Anolis sagrei: one gene and its partners. The protein of the gene in region 1 purifies or fractionates together with the protein of each later gene. This does not show direct contact. Links are inferred from orthologs where the notes say so. Each region holds a gene or a part of one and is shown in the gene's direction. Other genes may lie near its edges. The genes, in order: DDX20, GEMIN2 and STRAP.

What was found.
Region 2: the proteins of DDX20 (region 1) and GEMIN2 purify together in Homo sapiens (affinity purification with mass spectrometry; 6 studies listed by BioGRID and IntAct, counting the BioPlex papers as one, with this or other methods). This does not show direct contact. The link is inferred for Anolis sagrei from reciprocal best matches to the Homo sapiens genes DDX20 and GEMIN2.
Region 3: the proteins of DDX20 (region 1) and STRAP purify together in Homo sapiens (affinity purification with mass spectrometry; 3 studies listed by BioGRID and IntAct, counting the BioPlex papers as one, with this or other methods). This does not show direct contact. The link is inferred for Anolis sagrei from reciprocal best matches to the Homo sapiens genes DDX20 and STRAP.

Annotation. Positions count from the first base shown.
Region 1 is NC_090024.1:199,508,494-199,516,585, forward strand, and holds the start of DDX20 (probable ATP-dependent RNA helicase DDX20), read left to right. Parts: upstream 1-5,032; 5' UTR 5,033-5,047; coding exon 5,048-5,312; intron 5,313-8,092.
Region 2 is NC_090021.1:303,554,785-303,562,091, forward strand, and holds the start of GEMIN2 (gem-associated protein 2), read left to right. Parts: upstream 1-4,277; 5' UTR 4,278-4,407; coding exon 4,408-4,529; intron 4,530-7,029; coding exon 7,030-7,114; intron 7,115-7,307. Other genes in the region: PROSER1 (proline and serine-rich protein 1), read left to right, coding at 1-80. UniProt on the Homo sapiens protein: The SMN complex catalyzes the assembly of small nuclear ribonucleoproteins (snRNPs), the building blocks of the spliceosome, and thereby plays an important role in the splicing of cellular pre-mRNAs.
Region 3 is NC_090025.1:181,634,942-181,643,016, forward strand, and holds the start of STRAP (serine-threonine kinase receptor-associated protein), read left to right. Parts: upstream 1-5,047; 5' UTR 5,048-5,249; coding exon 5,250-5,361; intron 5,362-8,075. UniProt on the Homo sapiens protein: The SMN complex catalyzes the assembly of small nuclear ribonucleoproteins (snRNPs), the building blocks of the spliceosome, and thereby plays an important role in the splicing of cellular pre-mRNAs.

The DNA of each region.
Region 1 (8,092 bases):
AGTCAAAGTTTGTGATGGTTTATAGGGAAAAGTAAGCTACACCAACCTTCTTAACAGTATGCTTACATTTCACTATGTGCGGGGGGGAAAAACAATTGCACCCATTTTGAAATAAAAACTAATCCTGAACAGATTTATGGGTGTTTAATCCCTTCTAAGTCTTTGAACTTGTTGTGGGGACCAAAACCTGCAAAATAATTTATGCAGAAGATTTAAAAATTGCTCATTACTGAAAAAAACCCCTCCTCATCCTGGTAATGCACACTTGTTCAGTAGGACCTCACACCATTTTCATAAAATAGCATGGATAATCCTCTGCTTAAGCCAGTGATGGGCAACCTTTTGAGCTTGGTGTGTCAAAATTTGCCAAAAACCTGAGCATAACTTGGGTGGAGTGTCACTTTGAGAAAAAAACCCCATAATTTTGCAATATTTATAGTTTAAATAAGAAAAATGTATAATCCATGCTGAGTTATGGAGTGAACAATGCTCAAACGTGCAGATGTTAAATTTGTAAAGCCTTTTACAAATTGAAAGATGGAATTAGATTGGCTCTTATAAAGTCTATTTCTCTGTATGTGGCCGCATGTGTCTGCGTGTCATCAAAATAGCCATGCGTGTCAATGATGACACGCATGTCATAGGTTCACCATCACGGGCTTAAGCATTGGAGGAAGGACATTATGAAGGTATGAACGGAGGATGAATGGTTTAAGTGTTTTAATGAAATAAAATGTGAAAGAAAAGAAAAACAATAGTCCATGTTATATTTCACTATATAATGTAACACCTAGAAATTAATTGGAGAAAAATGTCCATACACATGAATCAAGCTACACACATGTGGTACAATAGTTTGGACCAGACATAACCAACATGTCAGAAGCTTTTACTTTGACTTTTAGATAATCTAAAAAAACAAACAAAACCCTGGTTGTCTTAAATTGGACTTTTCCAGTCTTTTCCCCTGGAAAAACCCTTGAATGTAATTTTCAGGTCTCAATGAGCTCCTGCAAAAAGTTACATCTAAAGCTGAAAAGAGTTATATTTTACAGTCATTGAATTCTTTGTAACTTTTCTGGCAAACCATGGCTGAAAAAAAGTTTAAAATTATGATTTGGGCTGGATACACACTACCAAATAATGCAGTCTGAATTGCATTATGTGGCCACTATAGATTCATATAATGCAGTTTGAACTGCCCTTAACTGTATTATATGGGTCGACACAGGTCATATATTGATTGTGTAGATCCGGAAATGAAAATGAGTCAGGCCCATAACACAAGAATGAGATTTCCTGAGATGTCTTCATGTTGTGATAAAATAGTTCAAAGACTAACCAAATATACTAGTTAATCTAAATTCTTACCCATAAGAAATATAACGCATGTTCCTTGAGCTACTGCTCTTGCAACATTCATGTGGCTTATTTCCAAATGTTCGATCACCACACCTGATTTTGTATGCCTTCACATGCGCTTGGTTAATTTGTTACTCCTTCTCATTAATAAGAAGTGGGATTATTTTTGATGCCGAGCAACTATTTTGAATTATACTCTCCCTGCACATCAAACATCAATACTGTATAAAAGATGTATCCTATATGCAGATTGCACCCTCTTCTGGCGAGAATCAGTATTTCCAATATCTATTAACAGCCCGGAAAACTCACAGCAACCCAACAACTAAACTTGTTATGTGAATTTATTTTAACCAGTAACTAATAAGTATCATTTGCTAAGAATAGCAATTCAAAATGAAAACCTTGTGAGGTCTCCAGAGGAGGGCAATGCCATATGAGGAGTGCCTTAAATAGATGAGTATTTTTCGCCTGCAGAAGAGAAGTTTGAGAGGAGACATGATAGTCATGTATAAACATGTGAAAGGATGTCATAAGGAAGTGGGAGGAGACTTGTTTTCTGCTGCTCTGGAGACACAGCTGAATAATATCCCACACAGCTGAATAATATCCCACATTTCCTGCTTTGAACTGGAATATATGGCAGTGTAGTCTCAGAACATGGAGCAATGGGTTAAAATTAGAGGAAAGGAGATTCCACTGGAAAATTAAGAGGAATTTCATGACTGTGAGAGCTGTTCAGCAGTGGAACTGTTTTGGAGTGTGGTGGAAGCTCCGTCCTTGCAAACTTTTAAAGAGAGACTGGATGGCCATCTGTCAGGCGTACTTTGATTGTGCTTTTCCTGCATGGCAGGAGTTAAGGTGGATGGCCCATACGGTCTTTTCTAACTCTATGAGTCTAATATAGAATTTAACTAAAGAATACTGCTGACCACTATTTCAAATTACCATATCACAACAAATTTTAACCCCCCCCCCAGCAATATAATCAGAATGTTATTTCTTTTTGGAAATGCTCCTTTTTGGAAACTGTTCTCAAACTAGCCTAGAACATAATAAAAAGGACAATCAACATAGTGCCTTTCCACACAGCCATATAACCCAGAATATTAAGGCAGAATAACCCACAATATCTGCTTTGAACTGGATTGTCTGAGTCCACATTGCCATATATCCAAGTTCAAAGCAGGTAATGTGGGATTTTAATTCAGATGTGTGGAAGGAGCCATAGAAAGAGGACAAAGATTTGCTTGAGGACGCCCATTCCATTCCTATAGATTCCTATTTGAAGACAAGGGGTCCACCCACAGTGTGGAATTGATGCAATTTGACACCACTTTAAACAGACATGGGTCAGTGCTATGGAATCCTGGGAATTGTAATTTGGGGAGGAGAAGGTTAAAGACCTTGTCAAACTACAACTCCCTTGATTCCATAGCATTGAGCCTTGGCAGTTGGTGGTGCCAAAACCGCATTGATTCTACAGTGTAGAAGAATTGAAAGATTTATATCCATGGATTTATTCCAAATAGATGTGTTGTTCTAATTCACCATTATTACTATCATCATCATCATCATCATCATCATCATTATAGGAACTCAAGGCAGCTAATAATTTAGAAACAAATACCACCCCCCTCCCCCCGCACACAATTAGATATACGAGGGTTCAATGAAATATAATGCCTCCACCTTCGCAACTCAACAGATGGCAGTACTGGTATGCGGCAGGTACTGGCTTGTTCATTAGGCTCTCCTTGACAGTTCCATTTTGGTGGGAAGCCTTAACATTGAACAGTTGTGTTATTAAAGTGTGAAGAATGGAACCCTGCGCAGATGGTCGGTCAATGCGACTTAAGCAATGTGTAGTCATTGAATTCTTGACAGCAGAAAGTGTCACCCCAAAGGAGATTCATCAAATAATGCAAGCTGTTTATGGTGATTGTGTTGATGTGAGTACTGTGCATCATTGGGCGAGAAAGTTTAAAGGTAATGAGGTGGGAAAATCTGACTTGCGTGACAAACAAAGAGCTGGACGTCCTGTGACAGCAACCATTGAGTTTCACAAGCAAATGGTTGACAGATTGATTCAGGATGATCGTTGTATAACTCAGAGAGAAATTTCAAGCATAATCGGAATTCACAAGAACGTGTGGGTCACATTATTGCTTTGCTTGGCTATTGAAAAATCTGTGCACGATGGGTACCCAGAATGCTGATGCCTGAAATGAAAATGCACAGACTCGAAACTTCAGAGGCTGGATCTCACCACCGTATGGCATCCTCCACACAGTCCAGATTTAATGTATTGTCGAAGGTTTTCATGGCCAGAATCAATGGGTTGTTGTAGGTTTTTTCGGGCTATATGGCCATGTTCTAGAGGCATTCTCTCCTGATGTTTCGCCTGCATCTATGGCAAGCATAAATCTGGTGGAACTAGGAAAACTGGGTTTATATATCTGTGGAATGACCAGGGTGGGACAAGCTCCAGCAGAGAAAAGTCCTTTGTCCCACCCTGGTCATTCCACAGATATATAAACCCTTTTTCCTAGTTCCAACAGACCTCACTACCTCTGAGGCGAAACGTCAGGAGAGAATGCCTCTAGAACATGGCCATATAGCCCGAAAAAACCTACAACAACCCAGTCCAGATTTAGCCCTGTCTGACTTCTATCCTGTTCCCGATAATGAAAGATCTGCAGGAACATCATTATGCTTCTGATGAAGACATTGAGAGAACTGTGAGGCGCTGGTTGCGCAAACAGAGTGTCGACTTCTTCTGTGACGGCTTCAGAAAACTTGTTCATCGTTGGCAGAAATGTATCCAATTGTCTGGTGATTATGTGGAAAAGTGAATAGTGGTAGTTAAAGAGCACATTCTAAGGATTATTTCTGTATTTTCGAAAGCTTTCATGGCGAGAATCACTGGGTTGTTGTAGGTTTTTTCGGGCTATATGGCCATATTCTAGAGGCATTCTCTCCTGACATTTTGCCTGCATCTATGGCAAGCATCCTCAGAGGTCTGTTGGAACTAGGAAAAAGGGTTTATATATCTGTGGAATGACCAGGGTGGGACAGTGAATGTTTCAACTGACCACCTTGATTAGCATACAATGGTCTGACTGTGCCTGGGGCAATCTTTTGTTGAGAGGTGATTAGAGGTCCCAGATTGTTTCCTCTCTGTTGTTTTGCTGTTGTAATTTTAGAGGGTTTTTAAAATACTGGTAGCCAGATTTTGTTAATTTTTTCTGTGTTTGATTTATTAAAATATTCCCCTCCAAACCCAAGTAATGAAGGTGGAGGCTTTACTTTTCAGTCAACCCTCGTATGTGCGTCATTCATTCAAAAAGGAAATGTCACGGATTACTAGAGACTTTGCACAGTATCTGTCAGGATTACAGCCCCAAGGATGATAAATATACAGATAACAATAAGCTATTATGACACATGCTTCCTATTCTCTCAACTGTGCAGTTCAGTAAGCCCAAGTTTGAACGAGATTGAACTACGCCCCTCCCCTTCAGCTTGCCCAATGGTTTCTCCCACCTTCTGAATCTTTGTCCAATCAGGCTCCATCGTTTACTCCCTCCCCTCCCTTTGGGCGCCAAAGTGCTATTCCTCCTCCTTCCACCCCTCCTCTCTCAAATGGTTTGTTCTCATTCGCTGGCGTTCGCCGCGCGGGACGATGCAGAGGTGGGGAGAACCTGCTCTCATTCTAGTCCGGACTTCTCGCGAGATTTGCGGCAGCATTCTGTCCAAGATGGCGGCTGTGGAAGCATCTCACGCTGAGGGCTGGCTTCGTACCCGGGACGTTCACTTGCAAGAAGGGCCCGAAGACTTCAGCTCGCTGCTGCTGTCCCCGCTGGTGCTGGAAGGACTGAAGGCTGCCGGGTTTCTGAGGCCTTCTCCCGTGCAGCTGAAAGCCATCCCTCTCGGGAGATGTGGTTTAGGTGAGGGGAGGACGTTGTGGCTCTTAGGCTGCATTTAGATCAGGTATAGGCAAGCTTTGGCCCTCCAGGTGTTTTGGACTTCAACTCCCACAATTCCTAACAGCCGGTAGGCTGTTAGGAATTGTGGGAGTTGAAGTCCAAAACACCTGGAGGGCCAAAGCTTGCCCATACCTGATCTAGACTAGATTCAATGCAGTTTGGCATCACAGCCATGGCTTAGTGCTATGGGGTCCAGGGAGTTGTAGTTTGGCGAGGCACCAGCATTTTTGTTGGCATAGGGAGCTAAAGACCATGTAAAACGAAAATATTCATGACTAGCCGTCCCCTGCCACGCGTTGCTGTGGCCCACATGGGGATTCTGTGTGGGAGGTTTGGCCCAATTCTGTCGTTGGTGGGGTTCAGAATGCTCTGTGATTGTAGGTGAACTATTAATCCCAGCAACTACAACTCCCAAATGTCAAGATTCTATTTTCCCCAAAGTTCACCAGTGTTCATATTTGGGCATATTGAGTATTTGTGTGGAGTTTGATCCAGATTCATCATTGTTTGAGTCCACAGTGCTCTCTGGATGTAGGTGAACGACAACTCCAAAACCAAAGGACACTGCCCACCAAACCCTTCCAGTATTTTCTGTTGGTCATGGGAGTTCTGTTTGCCGAATTTGGTTCAATTCCATCGTTGGTGGGGTTCAGAATGCTCTTTGATTGTAGGTGACGATAAATCCCAGCAACTACAACTCCCAAATGACAAAATTATTTTTTTTGAGTGAAGGGCATACATTGGGTTGTTAGGTGTCTTGTGTCCAAATTTGGTGTCAATTCGTCCAGTGGTTTTTGAGTTCTGTTAATCCCACAAATGAACATTACATTTTTATTTATATAGATTCCATAGTATTGAGCCATGGTAGTTAAATGGTGACAAACTGCTTTAAGTCTACAGTGTAGAAGAGGTGCGTCCTTAGTTTGTTTTGGGGTTTTTTGCGTCTTATTTATTATTTATTTATTTCCTATATTTATATCCCACCCTTCCGAGGGCGGCTTCACAAAGCATCATATGGTGTCATCATCATAAAACAATCAACAGTACATTAAACATATTGAAAAATATGAAAAACATTAGTTAAAACAATTAATTAACACACGCCTATTAAAAATTGGAGTCCAAAATCCAGTCTGGGTCAAATCATTGCCGTAAGTGTTAAAATCTCCTTTTACTTGTTGCTCACTGATCAACCGCTTGGTCCTATAGCCAGGTCTTGATTTTCCTTCTAACAGACAAAAGGGATGTGGCCACTCTGATATCTCTGGGGAGAGCTTTCCACAGGCAGGGGGCCACTGCTGAGAAGGCTCTGTCCCTCATCCTCACCAGTTGCGTTTGCGATGTCGGTGGGATTGAGAGCAGGTCCTCCCTACTCTCTTGTCTGTGCTTTGCTATTTTTTTTCTGCTCAGACTGGGGAAACTCAAGAAGTCTTGTCAAAGGCTTTCCTACCCAGAATCACTGGGTTGATTTTCGGCTGTATGGCCATGTTCCAGAAGCATTCTCTCCTGACATTATGCCTGCCATAGATGCAGGCAGAATGTCAGGAAATAATGCTTCAGAAACATGGCCATACACCCAAAAAACTTATAGCAACCTTAAGAAGTCTTCTCGTTAAGGCTCTGGTTGCTTCATTTGTAACAAAATAAAATTAAAATTTAAGAAAAGTTTAAATTGTAATTAATTTCTAAATTGAATGGATTCTTCATTTACTGTCAGAAACGAGATCAAGACATGAACTTTTGTATTGCAGAAAAGGACATTTCAGAGGAATGAAGCTTAGTGGGATTGGTGGTTTTATTTAGCTTTTGGAGGTTGCCAAACACATGGGATGCATCTACACTATAGAATTAATGCACTTTGACAACCACTTTAACTGCTATGGCTTAGTGCTATGGAATCAGGAGAGTGGTTTGGTGGAGAAGACATTGAGCCATGCCAGTTGAAGCGTTAGACTGCATCAGTTCTATAGTTTTAAATGCATCTATGGTTATTCAAGTGTTGGGGTTTCCCAAAGGGTCCCCATCATGTTTTTGAACTGTAGCTCCCATAATCTGTCATTCTCCATGACTTAGCCAAAAGTCAACTGGTAACTTAATGGCAAATATACACACCCCTGAGTCCTAGTCACAGTACTTCTGCTGTAATGACAACTTAACCTATTATTATCTTTATTGTTGTTCTTGTTGTTATTATATTTATTGATACCCTGCTTTATCTCTCCTGAAGGAGACTCAAAGCAGTTTAACATAAAAGCATTAACATACAATTAAAATATACAAATATGCAAACATTTAAACAGAATTAAACCTAACAGTATTAAAAATTCACAGTTAAAATCCATTAGAACATATTCAAAGTTAAAAACCACAGCAGCCTCTTTAAAAGCCTGTCTGAATAAAAAGGTTTTAACCTGCTGCCAGAAGAGCAGCAGGGAGTGGGCCATTCTGGCTTCCCTGGGCAAGGAGTTCCAGAGTCGTGGAGCAGCCACATGTTCCCACCAACCAAGCTTGAGATGGAGGTGGGGCCGAGAGAGGGACCTCTCCTAAACATCTCAAGGCAGGGCAGGCTTGTACAAGGGGATGTGGTCAGCCAAATAGCCTGTACCTGAAACGTCTCAGGCTTTAAAGGTCATAAACAGCATTTTGAATTGTGCCCGGAAACAGACTGTCAGCCGGTGAAGCTGCTGAAACAGGGGGTTTAATAAATTTGTTATGGTTTAAGAAGGTTAGATGTTTTTGTT
Region 2 (7,307 bases), on another chromosome or scaffold:
CTACATATTCTGCTGCACCAGGAACTCCCGGGACACCCTTTTCATTGCAAACAAGTCTTCCCCAGAGTGGATGGCAATAAACAACATCCATTTTACCTACAGGGAGCAACCTTTTCTTGAAGACTGCTGTGGTAGTTTGGCAAATCCACTGATGATGCTTCCATTGAAGGCTTTGGCAAAATCTACTGACTTCTATGTGTCGCAATCAAGAGGAAGAGAAGAAGAATTCCAAATAACTATTTCAGGCAGGATACCCAAATCCTGAATTTTTAAAGAAAACAAACAATAATATTTTTAATCAGTACCCTTATGAAGCAGTGAGCTTCATTCATTCCTTTTTAGGTAGGAGTCAAGGGTTTTGGATCTTTATGGGATTTTTTAAAATACAAGCATTATGTCAGGGTTTATTTTATTTTAAAAATCAATTTTTGCTAGGTCATCACTGTCCCAACACATGATTCAGGATATGAACTTTTCAGTATGTACATGGTATATGTTTTTTATAAAAAGTAATTTTAGAGCAGGGCTCCAAGACTATTTATTTCTTCTTTATACAGGCTGAGAAATCACACTGTTCAAAACATCCCGCATGGGCATACAGGATCAACTCTAGTCCTGCTCTTCCAATATCTTGTTTCTCACTAACTTCATGTCAATGTTCATTCAGATATTTGTCACTGAAATTAATATTTATCCCCTTAGTCCCTATTTACCCCTACCACCTTTCAGTATTCATTTATCCTTCTAGAATGACTGGATTTCTACTATAGAGACGTACTGTATGTTTTTAAACTTTGGGCAAATCCGAATTGAGTGCACATTTAGGTCATTACAAGCTGTACCTTACAGATCATGGGTTTTATTCTGTAATTAACTTGTTTATTTTAGTCTTATCTTCAAAAGCATTGGCAGTGCATCAATTATGCTGCCACCAATACGTCAAAGCCTGCTGATTTTATGCATCAAGTTCACATTTTCTTGAAAGTGTAGAACTAACCCAAAAATGTTTTGTAGTCATGTAAGAATGAATTTTGTGGTTAAGCTTGGAAAATGCAATTGTAATTATTAGGCAGGCTTGAACACAGCTGGAGCTGCATGTTCGGTTCATTCCTCCCCCAGTAACAAATTTAGGCCAGATACCATTATAATCAAGGATATTCAAACCAGTTTCTCATGCTAGTTAGGAATTATGCAATGCAAAATATGGTCTCGCTGTGTCGGTGAAAGTGCTTTATTCTGTTTAGTATATTTAGTGATGAGTAGGAAAAAAACTCCCAATATTATCTCTCTTTAAGAAAGTCTTGTTCTAGATCTGCAGTACAGCGATGATACTTGATTTTGTGTTTTGAATGTGAACTCTTATTTTTATTGCGGTGCATAGCTTAACATTTCCCTGTAAAGATGAAAGTCTGTTGAATAGTATTACTAATGTTGAGGCTTTCCAAAACTGAACAGGCATGAAGAACACTAATGTGTATATATCTGTTATTTTTATAAAGTTTTTAAAATAAATTGTGAAGCAGTGGTACACATGTTTCTAAATTAGACCCAAATAAACAATTATTTACACAATCTCTGTTATGTAGGCATATCTATGTGTGGTGAAATAACTGAAATAAGTCTCAGGGAAGGGGTCCTTTATAAAATACTGAAATTCAGTTGTTTTTATGAATTGCTACTGGTTTTTATGTAGCTTCTAAATATTCCACAGAGGTAAGAACCAAAGAAATGGCTTAAATAAATAATTATATGAGATGCAGGTCAAATTGAACTCAGATTTTCGTCCAGGGTAAATATAAGTGTTTTATAGTGTAAAATGATTCAAAAAGAAATCTTCCCCCCAGTGTTCTGTACCAATTTCACTTTTTAACTGGAGTAGGCTACTTTACCATTTTTGTGGAATACTTCATTTTAAGAAAGATAAAAGTGATCGTTTTCAGATCATGATTATTAAGGTTAAAGGTCTTCCCTGACATTAAGTCCAGTCGTGTCCGACTCTGGGGATTGCTGCTCATCGCCATTTCTAAGCCGAAGAGCCTGTGTATTCCGTAGACACCTCCAAGGTCATGTGGCCAGAATGACTGCATGGAGCGTCGTTACCTTCCCGCCGGAGCGGTACCTATTGATCTACTCACATTTGCATGTTTTTGAACTGCTAGATTGGCAGAAACTGGGGCTAACCAGGAGCTCAAGCCGCTCCCCGGATTCGAACCTGCAACCTTTCCGTCAGCAAGTTTAGCAGCTCAGTGGTTTAACCCACTGCGCTACCAAGGGCTCCTTCGTGTTTGTTAGTACGCTGTTTTAAGCTACATTGGGGTAGAATCATTGCTACTGGGATACTTTTGGGGAACTGCATAATAATACGAGTGAAATCTGAAAATGGGATGTAGCTACACCTGCACTTTTGTTCTGAGAATTTGAAAATATATTGTAGGTGAAAGGTGGCTAATTTCTGCTTGTCCAGGGCCCATTTTTTCTAGTCAGCCAATGGCACAAAAAGGCCAGAAGGGATATGGCTTAAGCAGGGGAAAATGCAGTATTTCATATACTTTAATAATAATAATAATAATAATAATAATAATACTTAGGCCACCCTCTCCCTGAAGGAACTCAGGCCACTTTACCTACAAAAAAGGCAAACATCCTATACCTCAAGTAAGTACCAACAATATACAACAATATCAAATATAATTCAGGTCAAAATATATTTAAATTTAAAAATTTTATCATTAAGAGAGACAACCCACAATTATAGAATGAAAGAGTTGGACGAGACCTCATGGGCCATCCAGGCCAAGAAGCAGGAATATTGCATTCAAAGCACCCCTGACAGATGGCCATCCAGCCTCTGTTTAAAAGCTTCCAATGAAGGAGCCTCCACCACACTCCGGGGCAGAGAGTTCCACTGCTGAACGGCTCTCACAGTCAGGAAGTTCTTCCTCATGTTCAGATGGAATCTCCTTTCTTGTAGTTTGAAGCCATTGTTCCGCGTCCAGGGAAACGGAAAACAAGCTTGCTCCCTCCTCCCTGTGGCTTCCTCTCACATATTTATACATGGCTATCATATCTCTTCTCAGCCTTCTCTTCTTCAGTCTAAACATGCCCAGCTCCTTAAGCCGCTCCTCATAGGGTTTGTTCTCCACACCCTTGATCATTTTAGTCACCCTCCTCTGGACACATTCCAGCTTGTCAATATGTCTCTTGAATTGTGGTGCCCAGAATTGGACACAGTATTCCAGGTGTGGTCTAACCAAAGCGGAATAGAGGGGTAGCATTACTTCCCTAGATCTAGACTAGACACTATGCTTCTATTGATGCAGGCCAAAATCCCATTGGCTTTTTTTGCCGCCACATCACATTGTTGGCTCATGTTTAACTTGTAGTTTGATGGGGCACCAGAACTTCCTGATGGAAGACGACTAAATAGCTCTCAGAACTACAATATGTTTTAGTATTAATTGAAAACCCACATAATTATTTTTGAAAGGCAGAATTCAGAACATCCTTATAGGTTGAATATCCCTTATCTGAAATGCTTGAGACCTGGTATGTTCGGGATTTTGGTTTTTTTTATTTTATTTTGGGGATATTTTTCTACAGACGAGATCTTGGAGATTTATGGATGTTTCACATACACCTTATACATGTAACCTGAAGGAAATTTTATACACAGTCTTTAGAAGGCAAAAATGTCACTATTTTAGCCAGCTTTGTAAGCATTTTTTTAGTTTTGGAGCATTTGGGATTTCCAGAAAAGGGCTATTCAATCTGTGCTAGATAAATATGTAGTATTTGTACTGACATGTTTTACAAATTTCTGAAAAATTATGTACTACATAATTTTGTGTGGTGGGGGCTCCTTCTTTGGAAGCTTTTAAGCAGAGGCTGGATGGCCATCTGTCAGGGGTGATTTGAATGCAATATTCCTTCTTCTTGGCAGGGGGTTGGACTGGATGACCCATGAGATCTCTTCCAACTCTTTGATTCTATGATTCTAAAGCACTATTCCATCAAAATATATTCATTTATTTTATTGCACTTATATACCCCCTAAAGTGTAAACAATAAAATGTTCAGAAATGAGATTACTACGTTATTCCCTACCTCAGCCATTTATTTAATTCCTTCAGAGTATTTCTGCCACTAAACCCTCAGTTGTAGGACGGAGTGGAGAGGAGGAAAGCAGCTAAATGGCTGTCACAACATCCTCTCCCTGTGGCAGCCGTAAAGCACCAAGAGAACGCTTTTCAGCCTTGTCGCGCGGAGTGGCTGTGTGCGCATGCGCATTCGGTTTGCCTGACGGCGGAGTGTGTAGGATAAGCCCCAGACTCCAGAGCGGCCTGAGGGAGGAAGAGCTTTGGCAGCAGCAACAATAATAACAAGGGAGACTGTGCTTCAGGGGCTGCCATGGAGTCTGGGGTGGAGGAACTGATGCCTCGGCTCCTTCCAGTGGGGGACTGCGATCTCACGGAGGATTTCGACCCCACAGTGCCCCCCAGGACGCCCCAGGAGTACTTAAAGCGGGTCCAGTAAGTGGGGCGCCTAGGCCGCCGAGACAGTTAGACATGGGCAAACTTGGGCCTTCCAGGTGTTTTGGACTTCAACTCCCACCATTCCTAACAGCCTCAGGCCCTTTCCTTAAGCGGCTGAGGGGGGAAAGGAAAGGACCTGAGGCTGTTAGGAATGGTGGGAGTTGAAGTCCAAAACACCTGGAAGGCCCAAGTTTGCCCATGCCTACTTATAGCAGTTTGACATGGCTTTAACTCCCATGACTCCATGCTGTAGATTTGTAGTTTGATTAGGCACCAGAGCTTCCTGTTGGAAGACGGCTAAATAGCTCGCAGAACTACAAATCCCAGAATTCTTGCGCACTTTCAGCATTGGTTGCTTGTGACCAGGTTACATGAAAAACAGCACCTGCTAAATTGCTCTCTTTCCCCCAAAGAAGTCATTACCCATTTTTAATTTGGCAACTCTTATCATTGCTGTAAAAGTCAACAAGTCAACTGCGATTTAAGGCAACCCTGTGAATGAGAGATCTCCAAAGGGACAGCTACACAGCATAATTGAAACAGTTTGATACCAGCCCCAATGGTGCAGTGGGTTAGAGCACTGAGCTGCTGAACTTGTTGACCAAAAGGTTGCAGGTTCAAATCCGGGGAGTGGCGTGAGCACCTGCTGTTAGCCCCAGCTTCTGCCAACCTAGCAGTTTGAAAACATGCAAAATGTGAGTAGATCAATAGGTACTGCTCTGGTGGGAAGGTAACGGCTCCTTGCAGTCATGCCAGCCACATGGCCTGTGAGGTGTTTACGGACAACGCCGGCTATTTGGCTTAGAAATGGATATGAGCACCACACCCCAGAGTCAGACACAACTGGATTTAATGTCAGGGAAAAACCTTTACCTATCTTTACTTGATACTGCTTTAAATGTCATGACAATGTTATGGAACCCATGGGAGTTGTAGTTTGGTCTTTAGCAGATAAGGCTAAATACCTTGTGAAGGTGCAGTTTCCATGATTCCATAGCATGAAGCCAACATAATTCTGGTGGTATCAAACTGCATTGATTCTGCAGTGCAGATGCTCCCCAAGCCACCCTGTTATCGGCAGCTCTGCTTAGGTCTTGCAGATTCAAGTTCATGGCTTCTTTAATTGAGTCTGTCCATCTGTCCTAATTAAATATGCATTATTCACCTTCAGACTTTCCTTTCATCTCTTGATATGTCAACAATTCAATGTCAGTTCTTAAGATGGCTAATGGGACTTCAGCTAGAGCAGTGGTTCTCATCCTGTTAAGTCTTCTGGTGTTTTGGCCTACAACTCCCAGAAATCCCAGCTGGTTTATCAGCTGTTAGGATATCTGGAGTTGAAGGCCAAAGCATCTGGGGACCCACAGATTGAGGACCACTGAGATAGAGGGAATAATGAATAGTTGAGTTTCGTTCTGTCAGCATCTGTCAATTTCAAGGAATTTCCTGATTTTGCTCTCCTAATAATCTGTAGTGTGCTTCTTTTTAGGATGGATATGTACATGTGCTCTTCCCTTATGAACCAATTGGCTAGAAACAAAAATGAAAAAAACAGTCAAGAAGACACATGGCTCCTTAAAAACAAAAGTGTTACATTTCACATAATCTTTTGTGAAGAAGAGCAACCCATTTCATTGGATGCATCTGTAATCCACAAAAGTTTATGCCAAATAAATTGTGTTAATAATAATTAAGGTGTCATGGCACTTTGTTATTTTGCTTTGTGTTATATATTTTTCCCCACATCACTATCTTGCGCATGGCTGTAGTTGATGGATCTTAGAGTTCTAACAGAAAGCAAAATACATCCTTCATGCTTGACATCTTCCTGTCCTGAAAACTTTACCTCACCAAGCAGTATGCAAAGTTGTAATTAAAACCAATGAAAAATGAAGGTTTAAATAAATAAATACATATTCATTCTGAAAGTGGGAAGAAGGAAACGTATTCACCAGTTTTGTCTCTTTGATTTGGGAATTTAACATCTTGTTTTGTTTTCAAGGATAGAAGAATGTTAAGAGCTAGAATTTAAAGAATAGGTTGACCTGAACATCTAAAAATCAGACCTTTGAAAGTACTTACCAATGCAATGAGCTGGCATACAATTTTTAAGAGATGACACTTTTCTTACTATGGAAAGAACTATGAGGAAAGTAGCACTTGATTGATTTCTTATCAGTCTTTTTTAAAAACCTATGAAGTCAGAGAGTGTATGTTGGAATGGTTCTGAAGATATTCAGTGATATATTATTTATTTCTCATGGTCCATTACGTGTTTCGATTAAAAATGTCATTTTTCCAAAGTGTTTTCACTACTGTATCTTCTCTGTGATACCTAGCAAAAAAAATTGTGGGAAAAGAGTAGTCAAGATTCTGATGATATTCATGAGTAGTTATAGTAGGTGACAGTAGAGGGATTCCTGTATAATACATATGCTATACTTCTCTTGAAATTACTAAGTATTTCAAATTTCAGACATCTGTTCTTCTTTTGTAGAATTGAAGCTGCAAATTGTCCTGATGTTGTTGTGGCCCAAATAGATCCCAAGAAGTTGAAAAAGAAACAGACTGTAAATATTTCAGTAAGTTGTTTTTAAAAGAAAAGAATTAATAAGCTTCTCAATGGAGCTACTTCATTAGTGAGAAGCTTCTGAATGTGCTTATAGTCATTTTTAACATCAGACAGTTTCAGGGTGTGTTCACCTGACCCCATCTGTTTAGTTTCTAAAATACTTTTGAAGGACTGTACGTATACTTTGCACAATTCAAATGGAA
Region 3 (8,075 bases), on another chromosome or scaffold:
AGGAGAGTGGGTTTAATACTTCATTAAAACTGTTTCTACTCTAGAGGAGAGGCAATGCAGGCAGGGGTGCACTTTCTCTTCTTGCAGCTTTCCAAGTCATTTTTAGGAGGCCCAGGGAAGGAAGAGCGATGACCTGGAGCTATCTAACTGTGACATTTTCAATTTTGCTGCTTTAATCTGCTCTCTTTGGGTGCACAACACTTCTTCCAGTATCCCCCACACCTTGCTTCCGTTGGTTTTTGCAAATTGAGCAGAATTCATTGATGTGAATGACAATTGTATAGAACTCAGGGTATTGATGCACAAGGAACTATTCTTAAATGAGGATATGGCAGAGGTTGTATAATGGGTCAGCTGCCAGCAAAGGTATTGCTATTGTTACAGGATCCTTATAGACATCTACTTCTGATTATAGGTCTGCATAATGTGTGACTGTGCCTAAGCATGTATGCCGCTTTGATTTCAGCAAAACGTGCTTTCAAGTTAATTTCCCCAGGAATGTAGTCACAGACTGATGGTTGCTGCCTCTTGCCAAATGTTTTTGCTAAGGCACATTTATACCAGGGCATGCTTTGGATCTCCAAGTTTTTTGAATCTCAACTACCACAGTTCCTAATAGCCTACCGGCTGTTAGGAATTGTGGAACTTGAAGTCCAAAACACTATGTCGAAGTTTGCCCAGGCCTGGTTTACTCTTTTGACCATTGCTTCTGCTAGTTTGAGATGGTTTGAGCCGCTTTCACTCTTTTGTAGTGCCATCTAGTGCTCAGTCTTATATCTGCAAGCTAGAAACATACTGAGAGTGTCCCATTTTTCAATTGATTCAGTCCGGTCCAGTCCCCAATTCTTCAAATAAGGGCCTCTTTATAGAGGGTTAGACTGGTGAACCTGGCATTATTAAGCATTTAACATTTTTGACAGAATACATAATCAATAGACAGGTTTCTGCCACCTTATGGCCTTCCAGATGTGGTTGCACCTCAATTGAAGATTGACTATGAGTGCATCCCTAGCATTGTGAAAGTTTGACAGCACTTTCACAATGCTAGGGAATCCTGGGAGTTGTAGCTTGGTGAGGCCCCAGCATTCTCTGGCAGAGAAGGCTACGGACCTTTTTAAAACTACAGCTCCCATGATTCCATAGCAGTTGAAGTGTTGCCAAACTGCATTCAATCTACAGTGTAGATCAGGCATGTACAAACTCCGGCCCTCCAGGTGTCTTGGACATCAGTTCTCATAATTCCTAACAACCTACTGTGTACAGCAGTGTTTCTCAACCTGGGGGTTGGGACCACAGGGGGGGTGTTTCAGAGGGGTCGCCAGAGACCATCAGAAAACATTTTGTTTGATGGTCTTAGGAAGCTCTTTGGCAGAGAAGGCAGAAGATCTCTCAGTCTGTCCTTCTCTTCCTTTTTCTTCCCACCAAAAGCCCTCCTCCTGCTGTGATTGGCTGGCTTCTCAGCCAAGGGGAGGGCTGTTTCCGTGACTCCAAGGGGAGAGGGGAGAGCAGGCGTGCTCTCCCTTAAATTATTGTCAATTCCTCCCAAATCCCTCCAGTATTTTCTATTGGTCATGGGGGTTCTGTGTGGGAAGTTTGGCCCATTTCTATCATTGGTAGGGTTCAAGTAGTCTAAACATCCCGTTTAGACTACTGCAACGCTCTCTATGTGGGGTTGCCCTTGAAGACAGCCCGGAAGCTTCAATTGGTCCAACGTGCGGCAGCCATGTTACTAACAGGAGCGGGACGCAGGGAGCATACAACGCCCTTGTTGTACCAGCTCCACTGGCTTCCGATTTGCTACCGGGCTCAATTCAAGGTGCTGGCGTTGGCCTATAAAGCCCTAAACGGTTCCGGCCCAAGATACCTATCTGACCGCATCTCGGCCTACGAGCCCACCAGGACTTTGAGATCATCCGGGGAGGCCCTGCTCTCGATCCCGCCTGGCGGGGACGAGAGACAGGGCCTTCTCGGTGGTGGCTCCTTGGCTGTGGAACACCCTTCCCGTGGACATCAGACTGGCTCCTTCCCTGATGATATTCCGCAGGAAATTAAAAACTTGGCTGTTCAAGAAAGTGTTCGAACAAGAAGTGCAATAATTGGTAATGACGACAGGAATGGAACAACGGAAAATGATACTGGATTGTGGTTTAAACGATGAGACGACATGAATGGCTTTTTGTATTATTGATATTGTTGATGTTTTTGATGATGATGTCTTTGGTTATTGCTAGATTGATATTTTAGATTGCGTCTTGACTTTTAAACCTTGTTCTTTCTATGTTGTACACCGCTGTGAGTCGACCCCAGGCTGAGAACAGCGGTATATAAGCAAAGTAAATAATAATAAATAAATAATAAATAAATAACTGCAACTCCCAAATGACAAAAGCATTATTTTTTGAGTGATGGTCACTCCTTGTGTTGTGAGACATTTTGTTGCCAAATTTGGTGTGATTTCGTTCATTGGTTCTTTTGTTTTTAAGGTACACATTATGCACAGAGCATTTTTTAATATATAGATATTGTAATTGTGTCCTTGGTGGCAATGAATTGCCTTGTAAATCGCCTTGAGTCGCCGGAAGGCTGAGAGGGGCGGTATAGAAATGTACTAAATAAATAAATAAAATAAATAAGTCCAAAGAAACCTGGAAGGACGAAGTGTTCCCGTGCCTGATCTACACTGTAGATTGAATGCAGTTTGGCACCTCGAGTCTTTTTTAAAAAAAGCAAGGCTGCATCTCTCCTCAGATTTTGTTGCCTCAGAAACGACGGAGCGGCCTAACAAGATCCCTACTGTAGACTACTTCAACCAGAGAAGTCAGCCATAGCAGAGCACCTGATGAACCAGCCTGGACACAGCATATTATTTGAGAACACGGAAATGCTGGACCACTCTCACAACCACCATGCCAGGCTACACAGAGAAGCCACTGAAATCCACAAGCATGTGGACAATTTCAGCAGAAAGGAGGAAACCATGAAGATGAACAAAATCTGGCTACCAGTATTAAAAAACTCTAAAATTAGAACAGCACAACAACAGAGAGGAAACAAACAAGGACATCTAATAATCTCTCAGCAAAAGATTGCTCCAGGCACTGCCAGACAAGGCAGTCATAGCTAACGTCTACATGGAACACTTTGAAGAACAAGCCCTGGAAACAGCAACCAAAAAGCCCACGATATGGTTCAGATATGTGGATGACACCTTCACCATTTGGAGCCATGGAGAAAAAGAACTCAACAGGTTCCTGGACCATCTTAACAGCATCCACCCAAACATCCAGTTCACCATGGAAAAAGAAAATGAAGGAAGACTGCCTTTTCTAGATGTCCTAGTCATCCGCAGACCAGATCAACAATTGGGTCACACCGTCTACAGAAAACCCACACACACAGATAGATATCTATATAAAAACTCCAACCATCACCCAAGTCAAAAAAGAAACACCATTAAAGCCTTGGCAGACCGTGCAAAAAAAATCTGCGAACCCCACCTCCTCCAAGATGAACTGAACCACCTCAACTGGGCTCTCCAGGCCAATGGAGACTCCACCTCAGACATCAGAAGAGCTGCAAGACCAAGAACAAGCCACAAGAGTAAAGATGAAGATCCACCCAGAGGAAAAGTGTTCCTGCCATACATCAAGGGAACCACTGATCGCATAGGAAAGCTGATGAGGAAACACAACATACAAACAATCTACAAACCCACCAAGAAAATCCAACAAATGCTACGTTCAGCAAAGGACAAGAGGGATCCTCTCACCTCTGCAGGAGTCTACCGTATACCATGCAGCTGTGGACAAGTCTACATAGGGACCACCAAACGCAGCGCCCAGACATGCATCAAGGAACATGAAAGGCACTGCAGATTACTTCAACCAGAGAAGTCAGCCATAGCAGAGCACCAGATGAACCAGCCTGGACACAGCATATTATTTGAGAACACAGAAATGCTGGACCACTCCAACAACCACCATGTCAGACTACACAGAGAAGCCACTGAAATCCACAAGCATGTGGACAATTTCAACAGAAAGGAAGAAACCATGAAAAGGAACAAAATCTGGCTACCAGTATTAAAAAACTCTAAAATTACTACAGCAAAACAGCAGAGAGGAAACAACCAGGCACATCTTAACACCTCTCAACAGGGTATTTTCCCAGGCTCAGCCAAGACTTCAAATGCTAATGAAGGTGATCAGCTGAAACATTCACACCTAGCTCCAGCAGAGAAGCGCTCTTTGCCCCACCCCAGCCATTCCACAGATATATGTCCTAATTCCAACAGACCTCACTACCTCTGAGGATGCTTGCCATAGATGCAGGCGAAACGTCAGGAGAAAATGCCTCTAGAACATGGCCCTATAGCCCGAAAAAACCCACAAGACCCTAGTGATTCTAGCCATGAGAGGCTGGATGGCCATCTGTCGGGGGTGCTTTATTTATTTATTTATTTATTTATTTGATGCACTTATTAACCGCCATTCTCAGCCCTTACGGGCGACTCATGGCGGTGTACAGTACACATAAAAAGACAGTTACAAAGGCCAGTATCAACAACATATAACTATACGACAAATACAAACTACATAAAAATCCGCTTCGTCTCTTAGTAGAATCATAGCCAGTCTCATCTTCCTTATACCATTCCAGTTCTCATTACCGTAATGTTGTTGCTTAGCACTTAATTAAATGCCCTCTCGAACAGCCAGGTCTTAAGGCTTTTTCGAAAGGACATGAGGGAGGGCGCCTGTCTGATGTGTGCCGGGAGAGTGTTCCACAGCCGGGGGGCCACCACCGAGAAGGCCCTCTCCCTCGTCCCCGCCAATATTCCTCTTTCTAGGCAGGGGGCTGGACTGGATAACCCATGAGGTCTCTTCCAACTCTAGGATTCTATGAAGAGCTTGGCGATGACGTCACTTCCGCTCTGCAGCCCTTTAAGAATAAGCTTTCCATGCCTCTCCCCTCCCGGGACAGGAAACCGGAAGCGGCTCTATGGTTTCCTAGGCGGCGGCGGCGGCTCAGCACTTCCGGCGACGGCCATTTTTCTCCCCTCCTGAGTTCACTTCCGTTGCCGGCGTGCCGTCGTCTCCCTCTCGTCGTCAGCGGCTCGGCCTTTCCCGTGGCTTTGAGGGAGCCAGCGAGGGTCGCCTTCCTCTGCCTCTCTCAGCGGCCTCTTTCCTCCTCCAGACCCCGCCGCTTCCCTTCTTCGTCCACCCTCTGCTTCCCTTCCTTCGGCCGCCATGGCGATGCGACAGACGCCGCTGACGTGCTCGGGCCACACGCGGCCTGTGGTGGACTTGGCCTTCAGCGGCATCACCCCCTACGGCTACTTCCTCATCAGTGCTTGCAAAGGTGAGCCTCCTGGGGGTGTGGGGGAGCTCCTGAAGGCAGTTTGACACCACTTCAACTGCCATGACTCAATAATATAGGATTCTGGGGTTTTGTGGTTTCTCAAGGCTTTTAGTGCTGGTGCCTCACCAAACTACAACTCCCATGACTCCTTAGCGTTGAGCCATGACAGCAAAAATGATGCCAAGTTGTATTCATTCCATGTATTGTCGAAGGCTTTCATGGCTGGAATCACTAGGTTCCTGTGGGTTTTTTCGGGCTATAGGGCCATGTTCTAGAGGCATTTCTCCTGATGTTTCGCCTGCATCTATGGCACGCATCCTCAGAGGTAGTGAGGTCTGTTGGCATTAGGACAATGGTTTATATATCTGTGGAATGGCTGGGGTGGGGCAAAGAGCTCTTCTCTGCTGGAGCTAAGTGTGAATGTTTCAACTGACCACCTTCATTAGCATTTGAAGGCCTGGCTGAGCCTTCATTCATTCCGCTGTATTCATTCATTCTGCTGTATTCTGTATTCATTATGCTGTGTAGATCAGACATGGGCTAACTTGGGTCCTTCGGGTGTTTTGGACTTCAACTCCCACAATTTTTAACAGCTCGCTGTTAGGAATTGTGGGAGTTGAAGTTGAAAACACCCGGAGGGGCCAACGTTTGCCCATGCCTGCCCTAAGTGCTACATAAATAGGAAAACAACAACAATAAGAAAACTTTATTTATACCCCACCACCAAATCCCCAAGGGACTCGGGGTGGCTTACATGAGGCCAAGCTCAACAACACATCAATACAAGAAAGCAATACACAAAAACAATACAATAGTATACAATTAATATAAATAGCATATAAACAATAAGCAATAACACACAAGGATTTAAAAACCTATGGTCGGGCCAAATGCAATAGTTTAAAATTTAAAAAATAAACACTGGGCATGAACAAGGTAAGATATATCTGGTAAGGTGAGGGGAGCGCAATCCAACCCAATCCAATAGTTAAAGTGCAATCTGAGGACATATTGCTGATTCAGTGATTTCAAACTACAATGGTTTCAAACTACAAACAATAAGAACAAGTCAGGAAAATGCAAATTATTATTATTATTATTATTATTATTATTATTTTCTATCCTGCTTTTCTCCCAATTGGGACTCAAACATGTAACAAAAAACATTTCAAAGCATTATTATTATTATTATTGTTATTATTAACTTTATTTGTACCCTGCTAACATCTCCCGAATGACTCGGTGCAGCTTACAAAGGCCAAGGCCCGCTATATCTCTATATATACAGATAGAGATAAAAATAAGCATTATCATCACACCGCAAACATGTCTAATAAAAATATAAATACATAGTAAATAGATAACATGACACAGTTTAAACATTCAAAAAAGTTTTTTAAAAAAAACCACACCTGATATCCATTCCTATGCTGTAGTCAAGTCCATTGCCGGAAGTTCATTAAAATGTATACATTGCACAGATGAATCTGTTGTTTTCAATATCCCTCTCCTTCAGGGAAGATCTGCTTCCATAGAAATTTAGATCCCTAAATGAAAGCAAGGAGGGAGACATTCTAACCTCTTTAGGAAAAGAGTTCCAGAGTCTTGGGTACACCTCTGAAAAGGCCCACTCTCTTGTTCCCACCAATTGCACTTGAGACAGAGGCAGGACCGAGAGCAGGATCTCTCCCGAGAACCTCAGGGCACATGTAGTTTCATAGGAGAAGATGCGGTCAGCTAAGTAAGTTGGGTTCGAACTGTTAAATTGCAGAAAAATTGAACAAAACAACAACTATGGAGGAACCACTTTTTACAGGGTGTATTCCTGCTAACTAATAATAAAAATCGTCATAACAACTTTATTTTTTATATCCTTCCACCATCTCCACAAAGGGAGCGGCTTACTAGTGGGACGAAACCCAACACAACAGGGTTTATCACTAAAAATACATTTAAAACATAATAAACTTAATAATTCAATTAAATATTTAAAAACAACTATGAACTGAATCAAAACAAATGTCACTAACCAGAACCAGGAATAAGATGGGCAGGATCAAAAATTAGCGAGTGCTGGACATGGACTTGTACAAATAGCAGATTATAGGGCCAGGGCTGTGGAAAAGTGCTGAGTTCACTCTAATGGACAATTGAGGCTGGGCGTTCATGGACAGGGGCCTAATCATTCTCAAACACACATTGGAACATCCAGGTTTTAAGGTCTTTACGGAAGGTGGACAGATTGGGTGCCAGTCTAATCTCCTGAGTCCCCTTCCGGGGGTTGAGAAGGGTGGGGCAAAAATGCTGTAAATAAATAAAGCCGGAGGACCACCACCGAGAAGGCCCTCTCCCTCATCCCCACAAACAACAGTGCTGGATTGTTGCTTATAAATCCCCAATTCATTTGCCCCTTTGTCTGCTTAAAATATCTGATATGTCTGGTTAGAAATGAGCCATGGTCATTCATAACTAAGTTACATGTGTTACAACAGCTCTACTCCAGATATGACAACCACTAGTTTTTGCCTATGGTTATGAACAACATGTATAAAATACTTACTTTAATAATAATAATAAGAAGAAGCTTTATTTATATCCCGCCCTCTCTCCCCAAAAGGACTCGTGGCTTATAATAGAAGAAACACAATGTAGTAATAGTAAACATACAATCAAATCAAACTTTCAAAACAATATAATTAAAGCATAAAACACTA